4 linked regions of the Canis lupus familiaris genome follow. The protein of the gene in region 2 purifies or fractionates together with the protein of the main gene of each other region. This does not show direct contact. Links are inferred from orthologs where the notes say so. Each region holds a gene or a part of one and is shown on either strand. Other genes may lie near its edges.

Region 1 (4,268 bases), on a different chromosome or scaffold from region 2:
AAGGGCATTAATGGAAGAAATAGGGGAAGAAAGAATAATAAAAGACCACAGACTGAAAAGGAATACCTCCTACTCAGATGAGAGGATGGGTGCATATGCAGAAAGACTGAGGAGAAAGGAGGAAATTGTGTGTCATTGGGGGGACAGCGAAGGGTACATAAGGAATGGTTTCAAACTTTTCAGTAAAGGAGGGGGCTTGGAGTCTACAAAGAAGGCGTTAGAGGGTTTGAGAACAAAAATTATTTTTAGTAGAACAGCAGGATTTATTAGGGGCTTCATATAATTCAGATACATAAAATGAGAGGTGGGCAGCCCCGGTGGCACAGCGGTTTAGGGCCGCCTGCAGCCCAGGGCGTGATCCTGGAGTCCCACGTCAGGCCTCAAGTCCCACGTCAGGCTCTCTGCATGGAGCCTGCTTCTCCCTCTGCCTGTGTCTCTGCCTCTCATTCTCTCTCTGTGTTTCTATGAATAAATAAATAAAATCTTTAAAAAAATAAATAAAATAAAATAAAATAAAATAAAATAAAATAAAATGAAATAAAATAAAATGAGAGGTGGGGGCAAAAGGGCATCCACAGACAACTAAAATTGAATTTTTCATTACATATTACAGGTGGATTTGTGCAATTGTTATTTATATACAAATACAGTCCAATTCACACTACATTTTCTTTCAATAGCAAAATCACTAATTTGGATTTATTTACTGATTTGTTTTTAAAGATTTTATTTATTTATTTAACTGAGAAAGAGAGCACAAGCAGGGGGGAACAGCAGGCAGAGGGAGAGGAGCAGCAGGCTCCGCTGAGCAGAGAGCCCCATGTGGGGCTGGATCCCAGAACTCTGGGATCATGACCTGAGCCAAAGGCAAACACCTAACGGATTGAGCCATCCAGGCGCCCCACTAATTTGGACTTAAAGAATGATTTCAGACAACGAAGAGAGTATGATCACAGACTCACATTTTATTATTTTTTTAAAAATTGTATTTTGAAGTACTCTCTAAGTAACCCAAAGTGGGGCTGACCTCACAACTCTGAGACCAAGAGTCACCTGCTCTACTGACAGAGGCAGGCAGGCGCCCCAGGGACTCACTTCTTAAATTTGCATACATAATAACCGTGATTGTTGTAACTTGTTTGGAACTGTGTAAACCACTTTTGCAGCAATTATAAGTTAATGAGACAGACCACAGGATTTTAAAGGATTAGAAAATGTTGCTTGAGGAGTAATTCACAGAAGAGAGCTTAGAAAGGGACAGAGAGGAGTCTTTCTTTTGCGCAGGACCGAACTCTTCTTTAGAACAACGATGGGGAGAAAAGGGAGGTCTTTTTAGTACAAGTAAGAGAAAACCGTCGAACAGAAAAATAAGTTTGAAGTGATTCAGCCTTTCCAGAAAAGTCAATACCTTTGTCTGAAAGTGCTGAAGAACCTGACGGTAAAAGGATATTGCAAATGGCTACACAGCATAAAACCTGCGTTTACTGCCAATTAAGTCCAACCGCTGCTATCTTTTAAAACGTTCGTTTCTTAACGAATCCTTTCTCTACTCTCATTCGTCTACCAGTAACAAGCTGGTACTTCGATATATATTGCAGGTGGGAAAGAGTGGACGTGGGGAGGGGCAACTCTGGCGTCTGGGTCTTGGCAGCCGCGTCCCTCCAAAGCAGGAGTGAATTCTACAGCTTGTGGCTTATCGGCCCACGGGCTGGTGGAGGCTGCGAGACGCAGGAGAGAGGCAGGCGGCTAGGAGGTGGACAAATGGAGTGCCTGAGGCTCTTCACTCACGTGGAGCATGTCAACGCCGAACAGCCAGAAGCGTGCTAAAAACACTCCCCCCGCCCCAGACTCCTTCTACGAGCTCCCCCTGAAGAGGTGTCCGCCCGGGAGGAAGGATCTCACCCGACTTCACGCAGAGGAGATGAGCTACTCACTGTCGATGTCCTCTATGAGGCTGGCGGTACCGGGCATATAGTTCATTTTGAGCTGAGATAAGGCTGCAGAGTATAGCGGCGGCGGGCCAGTGCGTCCAACACCTCCTTCTTTCTGACCGCAGTCGCCGCCTCGGCGGGACCGGGACAGGAACCCGGACCAGGAGCAGCACGTCCGCCCCGGCTTTCAGAAGCCGGGGCCTGCCGGAAACGCCTCCATATTATTCCCACCCACTTCCGGTATCACGTGCCCGTCCTCCGGAAGAGGCGGGACTGGCGCGGTCCCGGGACACCCATTCCCCGCCCCCGGTAAAAGGGGAAGAGGAAGCTAGATTGACTAGATGGTAGGGAAAACGTAGTCTCCCTTTTAAGAAACGCAGGGCTGCAGCTCGTCCTCCAGCTTCCCAGACAGCCGCCCCCCGCCTCCCCCGAGGCACGGACCTCCGTCCCACGACTCTCGGGACTCGCCGCCGAAGGGGCGGGCCCGAGCCAGGATTGGCTGCTGTCGGCCGACCCCTCTCCCTGCTCTCCAGTTCCTCTCGTCGGCGGGCGCTTGCGCCATGGGCTGGCCGTGGGGGGCGGGAAGCGCTGCGGGGCATTAGAGCCCATGTCGGCCTTGAGGCGCTCGGGCTACGGCCCCAGCGACGGTCCTTCGTATGGCCGCTACTACGGGCCGGGCGGGGGAGACGTGCCCATGCACCCGCCTCCGCCCTCGTATCCTCCTCGCCCTGAACCTCCCCAGCCTCCCATTTCCTGGCGGGTGCGCGGGGGCGGCCCTGCTGAGACCACCTGGCCGGGAGAAGGCGGAGGAGGGGATGGCTACTACGCCTCTGCAGGCGCCTGGTCAGAGAGCGGTCGAGCTGGAGGAAGCCACCAGGTAAGCTTCGGGCCATCTGTCCCAGGGGGGTTCGATAAGGGGAGTCTTTGGAGGGTGAGGGCCGCCGGGGTTGATAAGCCTCTGGAGTTCGTAATGGATTGGGTTTCATGTTTATTTTGCTTATGGGGGGTGCGTTGGAGAGACAGACGGGGTTTGTGGCTGGAGGGATATGCTTGTGTTCTCTGCGTCTCCTTCTTCGACCATAATAAATGTGTCTGCTACCATTAAAAAAAAAAAAGAAGAAGAAGAAAGATCCTCCGCTGACTTGATAAGCCGAGTAGCAAGGTGCGGAATCTCTCGCCTTGGGTTGACGTTGGGCTGGAAAGCTTTTGGAGCTCTAACAATTTATCCTGCGTGGCTCATATGGCCGGCTCTTCCCGAGAAGGGAGGTGGCTGCAGCCCCCGCTGCCACTCAGCAACCCCTCCCGACGGGAAAGAACCCTGCATGCAGGAGGAGGAGGGATCGGGCATTTAGCCCTTTGCCCCTAACGCTTTGTCCGGGGTTAACTCACCAGTAATCAATGTTGGAAAGCACCTTTACTTGGATTGTTAAGTTACGTTGCGGTTGCGACGTAAATGCCATTACAACCTCTCTCTTTTATGATTTAATAGTTGGCCCCTGAGAGGTTAACTCACTTGGGCAGTAGAGGTCTCCCTGGGTTTTTGAAGGTTCACTTTATTGCCACTTGGTTTTTTAGGAAGGACCTACATTAGTGCCTGTTTTTACTAACTGCAAGGAATCTGGAGAGGAGTTTGGCTTTTAGGAAAGAAGCTGAAAAGTGAGAATAGCTTCAGTGTTTGTTTTGCAGCAAGCAGTAGTAGAGGCAGTGCGCAACTGGGCAGTAAGAGTGGCACCGCCAATCTCCTTCCCTGGGAACTACACTCAGCTTCTCAGCATCACACTGCCATTACTCTGAACTGTGTCTATGAGCCTCTGGGCTTTATCTCCATTTATTTTGTGCGTTTGTTGGCAAGATATGTCCTAAGGTATCAGAAAAGCCTAAGAAAGGTTATTTGAGGAGCCTGGGAATGCTGAAACATTTTTCATAAAAATTAATGGTAATTGCTTCCCCCCCCCCCTTTATGCCATTTTGGCTTTACAGAAGATTTCATAGGAATGTTCTATTTTCAGATAGCAGGGGAAACCTCTACAGTCGGACTTATAACATTTTACTCCTTGTGTTCCTGTGGGAAATATACTTCTCTTTTGTTAATTAAGTATTTTTAGCAGTGAATTATTATGTGGTTGAGGGGAGCACACCTCTCTTTCCATTCAGTAATTAGAACATCTTCATGGGTTGAAAATGTAGTAGTGAAATGCCCATATATTGCTGGTAGGGATATAAAATGGTTCATTGCTTTGGAAAGTAGCTTGGCAGTTCCTCAGAACGTTAAGCATAGAGTTAGTATATTACTCAGCAAGTTTGCTTTTAGATATGTACCCAGGAGAACTGAAAACA
Region 2 (4,448 bases):
CCTGGGTGGCTCAGTGGTTGAGCATCTGCCTTTGGCTCAGGTCCTGATTCTGGGATCCTGGGATTGAGTCCCACATCAGGCTCCCCATGGGGAGCCTGCTTCTCCCTCTGCCTGTGTCTCTGCCTCTCTCTGTGTGTCTCTCATGAATAAATAAATAAAATCTAAAAAAAAAAATAGCTTGGTGTCTTTTCTCTAGTCTAGCCCTGTTCAGTTAAAAATAATAAAAATGAAATGTCTTAGATTTTAGTAAACCTATGTAAGAAAAAAACTAAAGAATAAGTCCTGGGGGGCAGCCCGGGTGGCTCAGCGGTTTAGCGCCGGCTTTAGCCCAAGGCCTGATCCTGGAGTCCCAGGATCAAGTCCCACATCGGGCTCCCTGCACGGAGCCTGCTTCTCCCTCTGCCTGTGCCTCTGCCCCTCTCTGTGTCTCTCATGAATAAATAAAAATCTTAAAAAAAAAAAAAAAAAAAGAATAAGTCCTGGGGATGTAACATACAGCCTGATGACTACAGCTAATAATAGTAATTCATATTTGAAAGCAGCTAGGAGACCCAGATCTTGAAGATTCTTACCACGAAAAAAAATTCTTGTAACCATGCATGGTGATAGATGTTCGCTGGGCTGTGGCTGTCATCATTTGCAATGTATGCAAATATCAAGTCACTATACTGTCCACCTGAAACTAATAGTGTTATATGACAACTACACCTTAATAAAATCATTATTTTTAAAAGAAGAAAAGTAAAAAAATAAATAAATAAAAGAAGAAAAGTCTACTTTAAAAAAAAATTTTTTTAGTTTCAGGTGTGTCTGAATTTTGTATTACCTATGCAAAAAATGCATAATCTTTTTAAACTAGGGTACAGATTTTTAAATATTGGATTGAAAGTAGCTGGAGGGGAGTTGAGACTCATTCTCAAGGATGAAGGAAGGTAGCCATGGTACAGAGGAAAGGACTCTGGGGGGAAGGAAGGAGTCTCTGGATTCCCCTACCAGATTACCCTGGCTAGTGTGCAACTCTGAGCTAGGGATGTCTCCACCCAGCACTTGCTTTAGAGAGGAAGACAAACCATGAAAGATGCCTGGCTCTGGGAAACAAACCAAGGGTTGTAGAAAGGGAAGGGGGAGGGGATTGGGGTGACTGGGTGACAGGCACTAAGGAGGGCACTTGATGGGGTGAGCACTGGGTGTTATATGTTGGCAAACTGAATTTAAATAAAATATTAAAAGAAAAAAAACCCCACCAAATTGTTGACGGCTGTGATGTAGTGAGATGGACGATCTGGGGTGACTTTTGGGGTCCTGCCTCTCCCCCTCCCTCCCTTCTCCATGCTGTCCCCACGATGGTGGAGCCCACACACAGCCAGAGCTGGAGAAAGCTCCCGGACAGCCTCCGATCCCGCTGTCAGGACATTTTACCCCAAAGGCAGGGAGAACCTGCGCCCCCTCCCCCTCGCCTGCCCTCGCCTGCCCCCAACGCCACCCCAAGAGCCTCGGGCGTCAGGAACCCCGGAACCCGGCATCCGGGGGTTGTGGACGTAGCGGAGCACAATAGCCGTCGTACCTACCGCCCCTCCGCGAGGCCCTGCGAAGAAGCGGAAGTGGAAGGTGCTGACGCAGCCGGGGGAACTTTGCTTCGATGGCACCTTCCTGTCCGCGACTCCGCCCCCCGCCGGAGGGGCTCGGCTCCGGAATTCAAGATGGAGTCGCTGAGTAGAGCTGGGCAGGAGATGAGCTTGGCGGCCCTGAAGCAGCACGACCCCTACATCACCAGCATCGCAGACCTCACGGGCCAGGTCGCTCTGTACACCTTCTGCCCCAAGGCCAACCAGTGGGTGAGTGCGGCGCGGCCTCCGAGGTCGTCCGCCCGGCCGCCGCCTCTTAAAGGGGCCGCGCGGACTCTCCGGAGTTGGGGGCGATTCGGGGAGGCGGGGGTTGGGGGGGCGGGGGACGGACCGACCGGCCGCTGGAGGGTGTCAGGGCCGCCAGGGCCTCCAGGGGCTGTGCGGAGAGGGGCGAGGGAGGCAGGCCCAGGACGTCTGGGAGGAAGAGCCGAGAGGAGGGAGGGAGGGCTGGGGTCCGGTCCGGTCCGGTCCGACCTGGGCGGGCTGCCTCCCTTGCAGACGTGCTGGAGGATGGGAACCGGGGGGTCGGAGACACACCTGAAAGGCGCTGCCTGAGGCCGTGCGGGCTCCGGGGTAAACTACCTGTGCGTGATCCGTAAAGTAAACACGCGTCCTCCCCCCCCCCCCCGCCCCCCGACGGGCACGTAAATAAGAGCCCCCTTCGCCCAGGTCATCTGGGTTTATAAAGCTTCGAATCCAATTAGTTTCCATTCTTGGAAGAGAGGTGGTGAGGGTAAGTCCGGCTTTTATCCAACTGTACTATTTACAGAGGTTTTTTTTTTTTTTTTTTTTTGGGTGGGGGGGATTTCAAGGCACTTAAGGAAAAGGGCTTCCGTGTTAATTGCATTTCTTTGAAGCCGTTGGAAAAGAGACCCTGTAAATGCGTTTTAGTTCCAGCTGTGCTGCTGGTGAGGTCGCCTCGGAATGCTCCCTTCCTACTAAGTAATTGTTGGCTTTGCTTGCCTTTTTTTTTTTTTTTTTTTTTTTGCACGGGAGGGGGTCCGAAAAGTTACATTGGGTCTGTTGTCTGACTTGTTGGGCCCCGTTTAAAAGTAACGTGATTTCCAGTTTTCGGGACGCCCGGGTGGCTCAGCGGTTGAGCATCTGCCTGCAGCCCAGGGCATGACCCTGGTGACCCAGGATCGAGTCCCCTGTCGGGCTCCCTGCATGGAGCCTGCTTCTCCCTCTGCCTCTGTCTCTCATGAATAAATAAATAAAATATTTAAAAATAATAATAATAGGGGCAGCCCGGGTGGCTCAGCGGTTTAGCGCCGCCTTCAGGTCAGGGCGTGACCCTGGTGACCCGGGATCGAGTCCCGCGTCGAGCTCCCTGCATGGAGCCTGCTTCTCCCTCTGCCTGTGTCTCTGCCTCTCTCTCTCTATGTCTCTCATGAATAAATGAACAAAATCTTTAAAAAAAAAAAAAACTATTTTAAAAAATAATAATAATAAAAATAAAAGTAACATAATTTCCAGTTTTCTAGCAATTGACCCTCCATGCTTTACTCCTTTAGGCTTTACTTTTGGCAGATGATCTGTCAACGTCTGTTGGATTGATTTCATAAACAAGTCACATTCACATTTCAGTGAAAAATGAAATACTACTAACAAAACCCTGAAAGATTATCGTAATGTGCCCTTTACGGTATAAAACAGACTCATAGGCTATATTTAAACAGTAATTGTATGAAAATCATTTGACGTTTATAAACACTTAACTCAGATGAAGAGAGCTTTCAGGATCCTCTTGCTTTTTTACCTTATCTTCTTTCTTTCCCCTCCTGGAAGAAGAGGTATGGAAAACCACAAAGAGCAAACTTACAGATTTTTATTCTTATTTTTAAGTTTTTTTGCTTTTTTTTTTTTTTTTTTTTTTTTAGTGTAGCTGTTTTAGACATTGCCTTAGTTTGAATTGTTCTGAATCATTTTTCTTTATTTGGTCTGCATATAAATTTGTGAGATGTGAATTGCAGACAAATGATGAAGACTTGGGGGCAGGAACTTATGACTAACACTCATATTTCTAGTTTTTCACAGACTTTCAGAATTGTAGAATTCTGATTGTAGAGTCCTGCTTTAAATATGAAATACAAATTATATCTATCTGGATTGAAAAAGAAGCTGTTCGTTTGGTTAATGGCCCATAGAGCATAACCAAAATCTTTTGTATTTTTATTTTACAGTGAGTTGTAACTTTGCACAGTGTTGTTTGAGCAAGTTTTCTTTCACTGTGAGACCGTAGATTGCCAATTTCTTTTTTAATAATTTAACATTTGAAAGGCAAGAAAAAGCCTGTGAATCCTTAGGAAGGAAAAGTTTTTATGATGATGTTTATGATAGGGCAATACTCTCAGCATGTTAAATATTTTTTAAATGTTTTTATCCCAACAAACCCAATTTGATATGACTAGCATTTAAAGTTTTCTAACAGTTTGTGGATTGCATTAAAATACATCACTTCTACCTAAGCTGTGAACTGCCACTAATATAGTTATTTGGGTTTTTTTAAAAACATTGTGTCTAACACCTAAATACACTTGTCACAGCGAATGAAAGATAATGAGTTGTACTTTTAATCAAGATGTTTCTTATTCTTAAAATGTTTTAGTTATACATTTTATAATAATTACCTTAAGGCAGAGTATAGCTTCAGGTTTCATGATTCTTCAACAAAGGTTTAAGAATAAAAAATTGTGTTCGACAGTATTTCTTAACAAACCACAAAATTTGCTATTCATCAAAATATACCCAAATCGTCCAATGATGAAGCAAAGTATCCTAGGATATAATGTTTTCTTTTTTTTCCTTCCCTAATAACTTTGA
Region 3 (4,454 bases), on a different chromosome or scaffold from region 2:
GACAGCGAGCGAGGCCCGCACAAGGCAGCACATTTTCACATTTTATACCCGACCTCCGCCACCCTCTCCCTAGGCTGGGCACAGGGTGCGGGGTCGCTCCCTGACAGCAGCGGCGGTGTAAAATCTGGGTGGGAGAGCACAGGCTACGCTACACGTTCAGGATCTTAAAAACTGTCAAGGGGGATCCTCCCTCATAATCGCAAGAACGGGCTTTTCTTGCTTCTCCACCACCTTTCCATTGGCTGCGCGGAGAAAAACAAAGGCGACCGAAGGAGACCAGGCCATTTCCTCGGAGCCCGCTGAGCGAGGCCGCCGGCCCCTTCCCGAGTTCGGCGGAGACCGGCGGGGACGCAGGGAGGTCCCGAGGCTCGCTGTGATTGGAGGCTGCCGGCGTGAGGGAGCAGGAGGCAGGCTAACCAGCCGCGGGGCGTGTCCGAGCGGTCGGTTTGGGGAACAGATTTGGCTTTCTCTGATTGGCCCCGAGTTGGGAGCTGGGGCAAAAATTGGGGAACTGGCCGGGGACGCCGGGAGCGCGGGGGTCCCGCTTCCGGTCGGTCCGCTGGGGACACCCGGGGGCCGCCACTCCCTTGACCTGACCAGCTTCCTGGCTTCCAGTTTTCCTCTCACCCGGGGCCACACAGCGCTCCCCACACTCCTGCCCAGGAGAAGCGCAGCCATCAGGACAGGACGAGTAGTTAGGAGGCCGCCGGGCGGCCACGGAGCTAGAGAAGCAGCGGTCGGGGCGGGGGCGGGGGGGGGCGGGGGCGGGGGGTCAGGCCCGGGAAGACTCGCCCTCGGCCGCCGTCTGGTTCCTATTTCCACGAGAAGTGACTCCTCAGCAGCTTTCCCTTCCCGGCGGGGAGGTCGCAGCCCGCGCCCCCGCCCCCCCTCAGCGGGGCCGTCGCCCCCCTTCCGGTCCTCACACCCGGCGCGCGCCGGCACCTCCGGGCCTCTAGTGCGGCGCGCTCCCGGCTGAGGCGCTCCCGGCTGAGGCGCGCCCGCAGGGGCTCGGCCGCGGCCCCCGGCTCCGCAGGCCCCCGGCTCTGCAGCGGCTGCCGCGGCCCGCGGGGGACGTCAGGTCAGCTCTCCCGTCCCCGAGCCGCGCGGCCCGGACGCCGCGTCCTCGCTCGGGAACAAGGCGCCCCTCCTCTGGTCACAAGCCCCGCTTGACTTGCAGGGCCGCCTCTCCCCGGCCACCGTGTCCCCACTCGTTTCTCCTCAGCTGTGGAGAAAGCTAGCCCTCCGTCCCACTCTGAAAGGAACCCGTGTCTCCCCTGCGAGTCTCCGTCGCCCCGGTCGGTGTGAGAGCACCGCCGTCTGTTTGCTCCTCGGGGAGGTTCCCCGGCCAACGCCGCGCCGGCCGCGAAGCCGAGGAGGCCGTGACGCCGCGGCAGGCGCGGCGGCGGCGGCTGCGGCGGCGGCGGCGGCGGAGCTCTCGCCATCTTGCGTGGAGGAGGAGCCGCGGCCGCCGCCATGCGGACAGGCAGGGGGAGGGGGAGCGGAGGGGGAGGGGGCGGCGGGCGGGCGGGGGAGGGGCAGAGCAGCCGAGTTAGCTCAGCCCGGGCGGCGACTCCGGCGGCGCCATGAGAGCGGGCAGCGGCGGAGGTAGGGCCGGGCGGCCGGGAGAGCCGGCGGGCGCGGGCGGCCCGGGAGCGGCCCCCGGAGCGGGGCGGGGGCGGGGGCGGGAGGAGGAGGCGGCGGCAGAAGCGAGGGGCCGGGTGGGGGCGGGCGGAGGTTTCCGAGGAGGAAGGAGCCGCCGCCATTTTGGGAGCTTCGAGTCAACAATAAAGGACCGAGGGTGCCGAGCGGGAGTGGCCTCGGCGGTAGGACTCGGGCCCGAGCCTCGGGGAGTGGGGTGAGGTGGTGGGGTCGAGGTCAGCGGTGCGGTCGGGGCCGCGGGGAGCCCCTCGGCCGGCGGGGGGGGGGGGGTGCTCTGAGGCGGAGGCCTGAGGCCTGGCCGGGTCCCGGGGAAGAAGGCGGGCGGCGGGCGGCGGGCGGCAGCCGTGTGGGGCGGGGGGCGCCTGAGCGGAGTCGAGTATGGGGGTGTCCTGCGCGGCGGGGTCCGGAGAGGGAGCGGGCGAAGTACTCGGAGGAGCTTTGTGGAGGACGAGGGGACCTGGGTCCGCAGGGGCGGCAAGGACTTCGGGGGATGGCGGAGGTTATAGGGTACGAGGCGGCCCTATAGGGGGCGGCAGGGACATGCAGCGTCGGAGGGCTCGATTTGGAGGAGGACCCGCTGCTGCTGGCTTGGAATAAGGCCTCGTAGGTCGGTAACAAGAGGGTGATTATGGAGCCCCCGAGTCGTGGAGGAAAAGGAGGGGCTTTCTGACTTAAGGGTTTCTCTTTGGGGCCTTCTGGGGGTAGTCCCTATTGTTTCCTGCCCGCGGAGTTGGTTCCCTGCTCTTGTGGCGCAGCTGCGAAGATAGGGCCCCAACCCTTTTGTGTTTATGGTCACAGGGGGCTGGCTGACTTGAAGTGTGTGGTTTGGGGGGGGGCGTGTTGGGGAGCGAGAAATTACCTCACAATCCGGGGTTCGAATCATTGGCTTGTCCCCCCTCATCCTTCACTCCCTTTTCTCTACCACAGCCCTCCCACCCCCTCCCCCGTTCCCCTCAGAAGAAAACAGTCCCTCCAACTTGCAGACCAAGCTTAGAGAAACTGCGCTGCATTTGCAAACAAAAGCTCTTGTCTGAGATGACGATACTGTTTTTGGGTGTGAAACTGTCAATTGCTAACTACACAATCTGGGAAGTGCTGTAATTAACTCCGCCAGGGGCTCCTCCCAACTAGTCTACGTTTCGTTCGTATTTTTGAAAAATGTAGAATGTAACTTGCAAGTCTAAATTGGGAAGGGGTAGGAGGAATATTTCCTTCTCTGAGACATAAAGCTGCAGTGCAGGTTTCGGTTCAAGTAAGAAGGGAGTAATAGTCCTATTTTGGATCTAGGGAGATGAGGTCTTAGATTAAGAGAGAGCTCGTGGGACGATAATTTATCTTAATCTTTAGAGGTTGCCCTCTTCATCTTACGGATTTGCAAACAAGTCTTGTGTGAACTCCGTGATATTGTTGATCATAATATAAACCTGTCGATACAGGGAACAATTTACCGCCTTGAACTGAAATTAGGTTGGCTGTTAACCACGGTCTGCGTAAGGCATTAGATTCTAAGAGACTTAGAAATGTACAGCTTTGTGTATATGGTAATCAGGATTTGCTTCTGAGCAACTAAATATTCAGTTTTTTAAAAAGTCATAACCAGTTGTCTTGGAAAAGATTTATTGTTTTGGAATCTTTGGTGTTTGGCACACAAAAAAATCACCATCAATTAATAAACTAGTGTGTATTTTTTGGTAAGAAATAGAAGAGTTAAAAAAGCACAAACCTAACAGTACTTTATTGTCCATCCTTTGTAAATTGTTTTTACCTACTACTTTTCAAAGTAAGAATTTGATTTTTGGGAATAATTAAAAACGGAGGTTGACTAGTTCTTTTTTAAAACAACTATTTAGTACTCTGGGTTTCTTGGAAAATTTGGTTAAAGTTGCTAGTCTGTTTTAGGCTTTCACAGATTTTTTTTAGAACAGTTTCCTTTTGTGTTTTTTATCGATATTTTTTGATAACAGCAAATATTTTAAGTTAGGATACACTTTTTTGGAAAGTGTTATTAAAACGGATTTAGCTAATAGTTTTTTTTAGTATTAAGTTAGCTAAAGATTCTCTTGGCTGTTTCTCAAGCAAAAGATTTTGACATGGAGACCTGTCTCTGTTTCAGTTACTTTTTTTTTTTTTTTTTTTTTTAAGATTTTATTTATTCATGAGAGAGACAGAGAGGCAGAGACATAGGTAGAGAGAGAAGCAGGCTCCATGCAGGGAGCCTGATGTGGGACTTGATCCCAGGACTCCAGGATCACACCCTGGGCCGAAGGCAGGCGCTAAACCGCTGAGCCACCCAGGCATCCCTGGTTACTGTCTTAAAGGGCAAAATTTAAGAGGGAAAAAAATATTTTTCTTCATAACGTTAAGCCTCTGTAGTTGAAATCCATAAAGTCACAAATGTGTATTTTTGCCCCAGAAAACATAAAGTTAAGTCAAAAGCTCAATTTCAGGAATTCTCAGTTGCTGTCAGAAATAGAAAAAAAAAAAAAAAAAATGAATGGTCTTGCCTTGTTCCAAGATATGTAGATTTACATTAATAAAATTGTGTGATACTTCATTGAGTTGTAATGCAATTAAGGGTAATGAATCATTGACTTTTAGAGGTGGCAGGGATTTTTAGAGAATTCATCAGGGAGGAAACTGAAGGGAAGAGATTGCCATTTGACAGCTAATGCTAATTTAATCACAATATCTTTCTACCTAATCTTCTCTGGGTTGCTTTGAACTGACAGTTTAAAATGTTTGAGATTGGTCTCAGTTGGCTTGGGTTTTTTGAGGCAGTTCATCTTTTCAAGTCT
Region 4 (4,203 bases), on a different chromosome or scaffold from region 2:
CCTTGCTTCAACGTGGGCTCACTGCACTTACCAAATAAGCACACATCTAAGTTTACTACCACCACCAATAAGTAATGTAGGGAGAAGTGTCACAGGGAAAGAAACCCAAAGTAACCCAAGTTCATCTTTCTATAACTGTAAGGAAGAGTAACAAGCTACTTTCCAAACAGTAAGATGTGGCCAAGAGGATGTTCACATACTTTCATTCTGATTGACTGGGTCTGGTTAAAAATAAAACCTATGTTCATAGATTACTATATATCTTTTAGTCAAGTCCTTTTAAAATTATCCAGGAAAGAAAATTTAAAAAACAAAATTATTCTAGAATAAAAATTTGGTTAGCAGGAACTAGATTTTAAGTGTTTTGATAATGGTTATTAAGTACACAGAAAAATTATCTCCCGGCTTCTGAAAACAAAATTTCATAAATTTAAGTACTAATCATTTTTTATCATCTTTTCCAGCTACACATATAGCAGCAACTTTAAAACTGAAACTTTCCGGGACACCTGGGTGGCTCGCGGTTGGGCCTTTGACCCAGGGCGTGATCCTGGAATTCCAGGATGGAGTCCCACATGGGGCTCCCCGTGTGGAGCCTGCTTCCCCCTCTGCCTAGGTCTCTGCCTCTTGTGTCTCTCATGAATAAATAAAATCTTTTTTAAAAAGTTGTTTCCACCTGTCCCTACCTCTTGTTTTAACAATTGCCTTTAAGAACTTTGCCGCTCAGGACGCCCGAGTGGCTCAGCGGTTTAGCACCACCTTCAGCCCAGGGCGTGATCCTGGAGACCCGGGGTCGAGTCCCACGTGGGGCTCCCTGCATGGAGCCTGCTTCTCCCTCTGCCTGGGTCTCTGCCTGTCTCTCTGTGTGTCTCATGAATAAATAAAACCTTAAAAAAACAACCTTGCCGCACCAATTCTAACTGCTTTCCCTAACTAGTGATCCTTACAGGAAGCCATGACCGGATGGAGGAGTAGAGTGCTTCATTCGCTCACCGCCCTTCTCACACTTGTACTGTGGAAGGGAAGCTGGACAAGAATACAAATGCCCGGGCGCCCACCCTAACATTCCAGGTCAGTAAGTGCCGGAAAAAAGATTACTTTTAACCAGGAACCAAGAAGTCTCCAAAAGGAGACGGCATATCAGATACGGTTTCAGAGCCCTGGAATCTTAAAACTGTACTATTATTTCGGTAATCACGGCGATCAAATCTAGCGAGAAGCTGCCAATCTCTATACTCGTCCAACGACGAGTGGCTGCCACTTACTTTCATCTCTTGAGGCCGTTAAGTCTTTGAAATTGGCAGGTTTTACTTTGCTACCCAGATCAATTTCAAAAGCTCGTTAGCGACTTAATCTCGCCGGAGTGCTAGTCTCACCCTAACCTAACGGCGCGGCAATGGAGAGGCTTCAACGTCAACCGCAACTTACAACTTTAGAGAAAAGTTTCATCGTTCTGGACTCAAGAAAACTACCTCCCATCAGTAAAACCCAGGACAGTAGACTGAAAAGGTCAGCAACTCCGTATTCATCTGCCAGGCGAGCACGCAAAAGCTCTCGTCCCAGAGAGGCAGGAACTGCAGGTGCAGCCGTCCCTGCCAACTTCTTAAGAGTTAAAAAAAAAAAAATTAAAAAAAAAGGTACAGCTGAGAAGGGTGGCGGCGGGGGCAGAGCCGCACCCGGGCACCGCTGCTCGGCGGAAGGCCAACCCGACTGCAGCCGCTCGCGGCCCGCTCCAGACCCACAACACGGCCGAGGCCGTGCACGCGCGCCGCCGTCGGGGAGCCCAGAGCGGTCGCCCGCCCCTTCCCCGGCCTCGCCTCCTTCATGAGCGCCGGAGCGCGGCGCACGTAGCGCGCTGACGTCAGCCTCCCGCGGGCCCCCTCCCCCCCGCCGCGCGCCCGAGCGCCGAAACCCCCTGGAACGCCGCCAGCCTTCTAAATCGGGGCTGTTGCTGGGGCGCAGCCGCGGCTCCCATTGGCTGAGTCCCGGGAGCCAATCAGCGGCGCCAGCGCATGCCTCCCCCTCCCCCGCTCCCCGGGCTGGAACCGAGCGGGCGTCACGGAAACTTCCCTCCCGAGTAAACAGCCGCCCCTCACCCCGGCCCCCCCTTGCCGACCCCTCCGTGCGGGGCCCCGAATCCCAGAGCCCGGCGGGGGCTGCCTAAGGGCCAGAACTCCCCCAGCAGCCCCCATGACCCCTTCGCGGCCCTTACCTCTCTTCTGAACGAGGGCTGGCCGGGCGCCGGGGGCGGCAGCGGGCCAGGGAACGGGCTCGCTTCCTCAGTTTGGGCTGCGGCCGCAGGACCCGGGGCCAAACTGGAGGCCCGGTCCGGGACTTCCTGCGCTCCGCTCGGGCCCGTCGCGGGGCCCCGCCCGCCCTCGAGGCTCGGCCGGTGCTGCTGGTACTGATGGAAGCGGCTGGGCAGCTGCCCCGCCGGGCTGGCCCGCACCCTCTTCTTGCGCCGCTTCTTTGGCGCTGCCCGAGAGGCGCCTCCCGCCGGAGCCAGACCGCAGTTGGACAGAGGTGCTGGGGCGCGAGGCTGCGGGGTCAGGCAGGGACCGTCTCCCCCAAGGAAGTGAGGGAGGAAGAGGGTGGGGGGCAGTGCCCGGGGGTCCGGGATTCGGGGTAAAGGCGGCGGGGCCGTGGTCACCATCGGGAGAGCTCCGAAGTAACCGCGGGCGGAAAAGCCCAGGGGCGCAAGGCGGCCGCCCAGGACAAGGGGCTCCCGCTGCGGGACGGAGACGACGGTCATAGCTCTAGGAGGAAAGTGGCTCAGCGAGAAGAAAAGGAGGAAGAGAAGCCAGCGATTGCAGGGCGGCGGCGGCGGCTGCTGCTAAGAGAGCCCGAGGGGAGCGCGGACCATGGTTCGGGCGGTGGCGGCGCAGCAACAAATAGCCTCAGCCTCAGCGCCGAGTGTTGTTATCCGAAGCCCCGCCCTTCGCCCGCCCACCTCCTCCCGAGAGCCCAATCAGGATGCGGCGGCGCAGGCCACGCCCCCTCCGGCGCTCCCTCCCCCGCCTCCAAGAGACACACACAAACAACCAGCTTGCTGCAGCCCCGCACAAAGAGCGTGCACTGCGCAGGCGCTGCCAACGGGCTCTTTCGGGAAGAGTCGGTCCCGCGAACAATGAAGTTCCGTTTCAGCCCGACCTCCCCCACCCTGCTCCCTTCTCGCCTCCGCACCTTGCCCTGAAGGCAGGGGTCCTAGTGCTAGATCGAGGCCGGATTTGGAAAAGGGGATGGGGGCGGGAGAAAGAAACCTGGAAACCTCAAGGCCACGGATGCCTCCTCAGCCACTGACCTTGGTTGGGGGGGGTGGGGAGTCTCTCTTATTTCAAGCCCAGCAGAATAATAACATTAGGATTTTTTAAAAAGGTTTCAAAGTACGTTATAGGGGTTTCATTCTTAGCAATTGCAAGGAGATCAGTCCACATTTAAGTTCTGTTTGGCAAAGTGTGGCTTGCGTTGTTGTCTTCATTTACTCGGGTCACCAAGCGCTGTTCCTTAAACGCGGTAAAAAGAGTGAGAATTAAGGGGAGTGACTGATTGAAAGGGGCCCCTTAGCAAATACAGCGTTCCCCGTAAATCCGTGATTGAGCAGTGGGAATGTTACTGTCTTTATACTTGAAGGACTCTGAGACTTTGGGATCACGAAACGGTGCCTGGCACTGAGGAAGCAAAGGGGGAGGTTTGCGTCTCAAAGGGAGAAAGTGAAACAGCTCTGCAACCTGCAGTGTATCTTGCTAGCTGGGGTGTTCTGGAAATCCCACGCTCATCGTCTCTCCGCACTGCGCTCACACACACAAGCCATGGCTCTTTTATCAAGTACTTTTGTGGCAGAAACTGTGCTTTGCATAAATTATGTCATTTGAACTCGACCCTAAGGAATAGGTACTCTATTTTGTCCCCACTTTATCAGAGAGGAAACCGGCTTCGAAAAGCAAAAAGTACTTGTCAGGCTATCATACAGCAAGTTAATAGAATTTGAACTCCAGTCCAGGGATGGCAAGGACCCAAGTTTTAACATCATCCAAACTACCTGCCACTTTAGTTTGGAGACCACCACAATAATCTTACCCTTCTCTGTATCCTTAGCTGTATCGTAGCCTCTAGCCAATATTTTTCCGCTTTGTAGTGCTCGATAAATGTTTTATGATTGGTAACAAAGTTGGACAGACGGGATACCCGGAATAATGCTTCCAA

What was found.
Region 1: the proteins of DCP1A (region 2) and BAG4 purify together in Homo sapiens (affinity purification with mass spectrometry; 4 studies listed by BioGRID and IntAct, counting the BioPlex papers as one, with this or other methods). This does not show direct contact. The link is inferred for Canis lupus familiaris from reciprocal best matches to the Homo sapiens genes DCP1A and BAG4.
Region 3: the proteins of DCP1A (region 2) and DDX6 purify together in Homo sapiens (affinity purification with mass spectrometry; 8 studies listed by BioGRID and IntAct, counting the BioPlex papers as one, with this or other methods). This does not show direct contact. The link is inferred for Canis lupus familiaris from reciprocal best matches to the Homo sapiens genes DCP1A and DDX6.
Region 4: the proteins of DCP1A (region 2) and PNRC1 purify together in Homo sapiens (affinity purification with mass spectrometry; 3 studies listed by BioGRID and IntAct, with this or other methods). This does not show direct contact. The link is inferred for Canis lupus familiaris from reciprocal best matches to the Homo sapiens genes DCP1A and PNRC1.

What each region holds. Positions count from the first base shown.
Region 1 is NC_049237.1:28,040,054-28,044,321, reverse strand, and holds the start of BAG4 (BAG family molecular chaperone regulator 4), read left to right. Parts: upstream 1-1,355; 5' UTR 1,356-1,934; coding exon of another isoform or gene 1,935-1,980; 5' UTR 1,981-2,272; coding exon of another isoform or gene 2,273-2,275; 5' UTR 2,276-2,538; coding exon 2,539-2,808; intron 2,809-4,268. Other genes in the region: U6 snRNA-associated Sm-like protein LSm1, read right to left, coding at 1,935-1,980. UniProt on the Homo sapiens protein: Inhibits the chaperone activity of HSP70/HSC70 by promoting substrate release. Prevents constitutive TNFRSF1A signaling. Negative regulator of PRKN translocation to damaged mitochondria.
Region 2 is NC_049241.1:36,886,946-36,891,393, forward strand, and holds the start of DCP1A (mRNA-decapping enzyme 1A), read left to right. Parts: upstream 1-1,613; 5' UTR 1,614-1,700; coding exon 1,701-1,835; intron 1,836-4,448. UniProt on the Homo sapiens protein: Necessary for the degradation of mRNAs, both in normal mRNA turnover and in nonsense-mediated mRNA decay. Removes the 7-methyl guanine cap structure from mRNA molecules, yielding a 5'-phosphorylated mRNA fragment and 7m-GDP.
Region 3 is NC_049226.1:15,026,172-15,030,625, forward strand, and holds the start of DDX6 (probable ATP-dependent RNA helicase DDX6), read left to right. Parts: upstream 1-1,541; 5' UTR 1,542-1,605; intron 1,606-1,719; exon of another isoform or gene 1,720-1,823; intron 1,824-1,830; exon of another isoform or gene 1,831-1,855; intron 1,856-2,682; exon of another isoform or gene 2,683-2,819; intron 2,820-4,454.
Region 4 is NC_049233.1:48,554,164-48,558,366, reverse strand, and holds the start of PNRC1 (proline-rich nuclear receptor coactivator 1), read right to left. Parts: upstream 2,914-4,203; 5' UTR 2,753-2,913; coding exon 2,213-2,752; intron 1-2,212. UniProt on the Homo sapiens protein: Nuclear receptor coactivator. May play a role in signal transduction.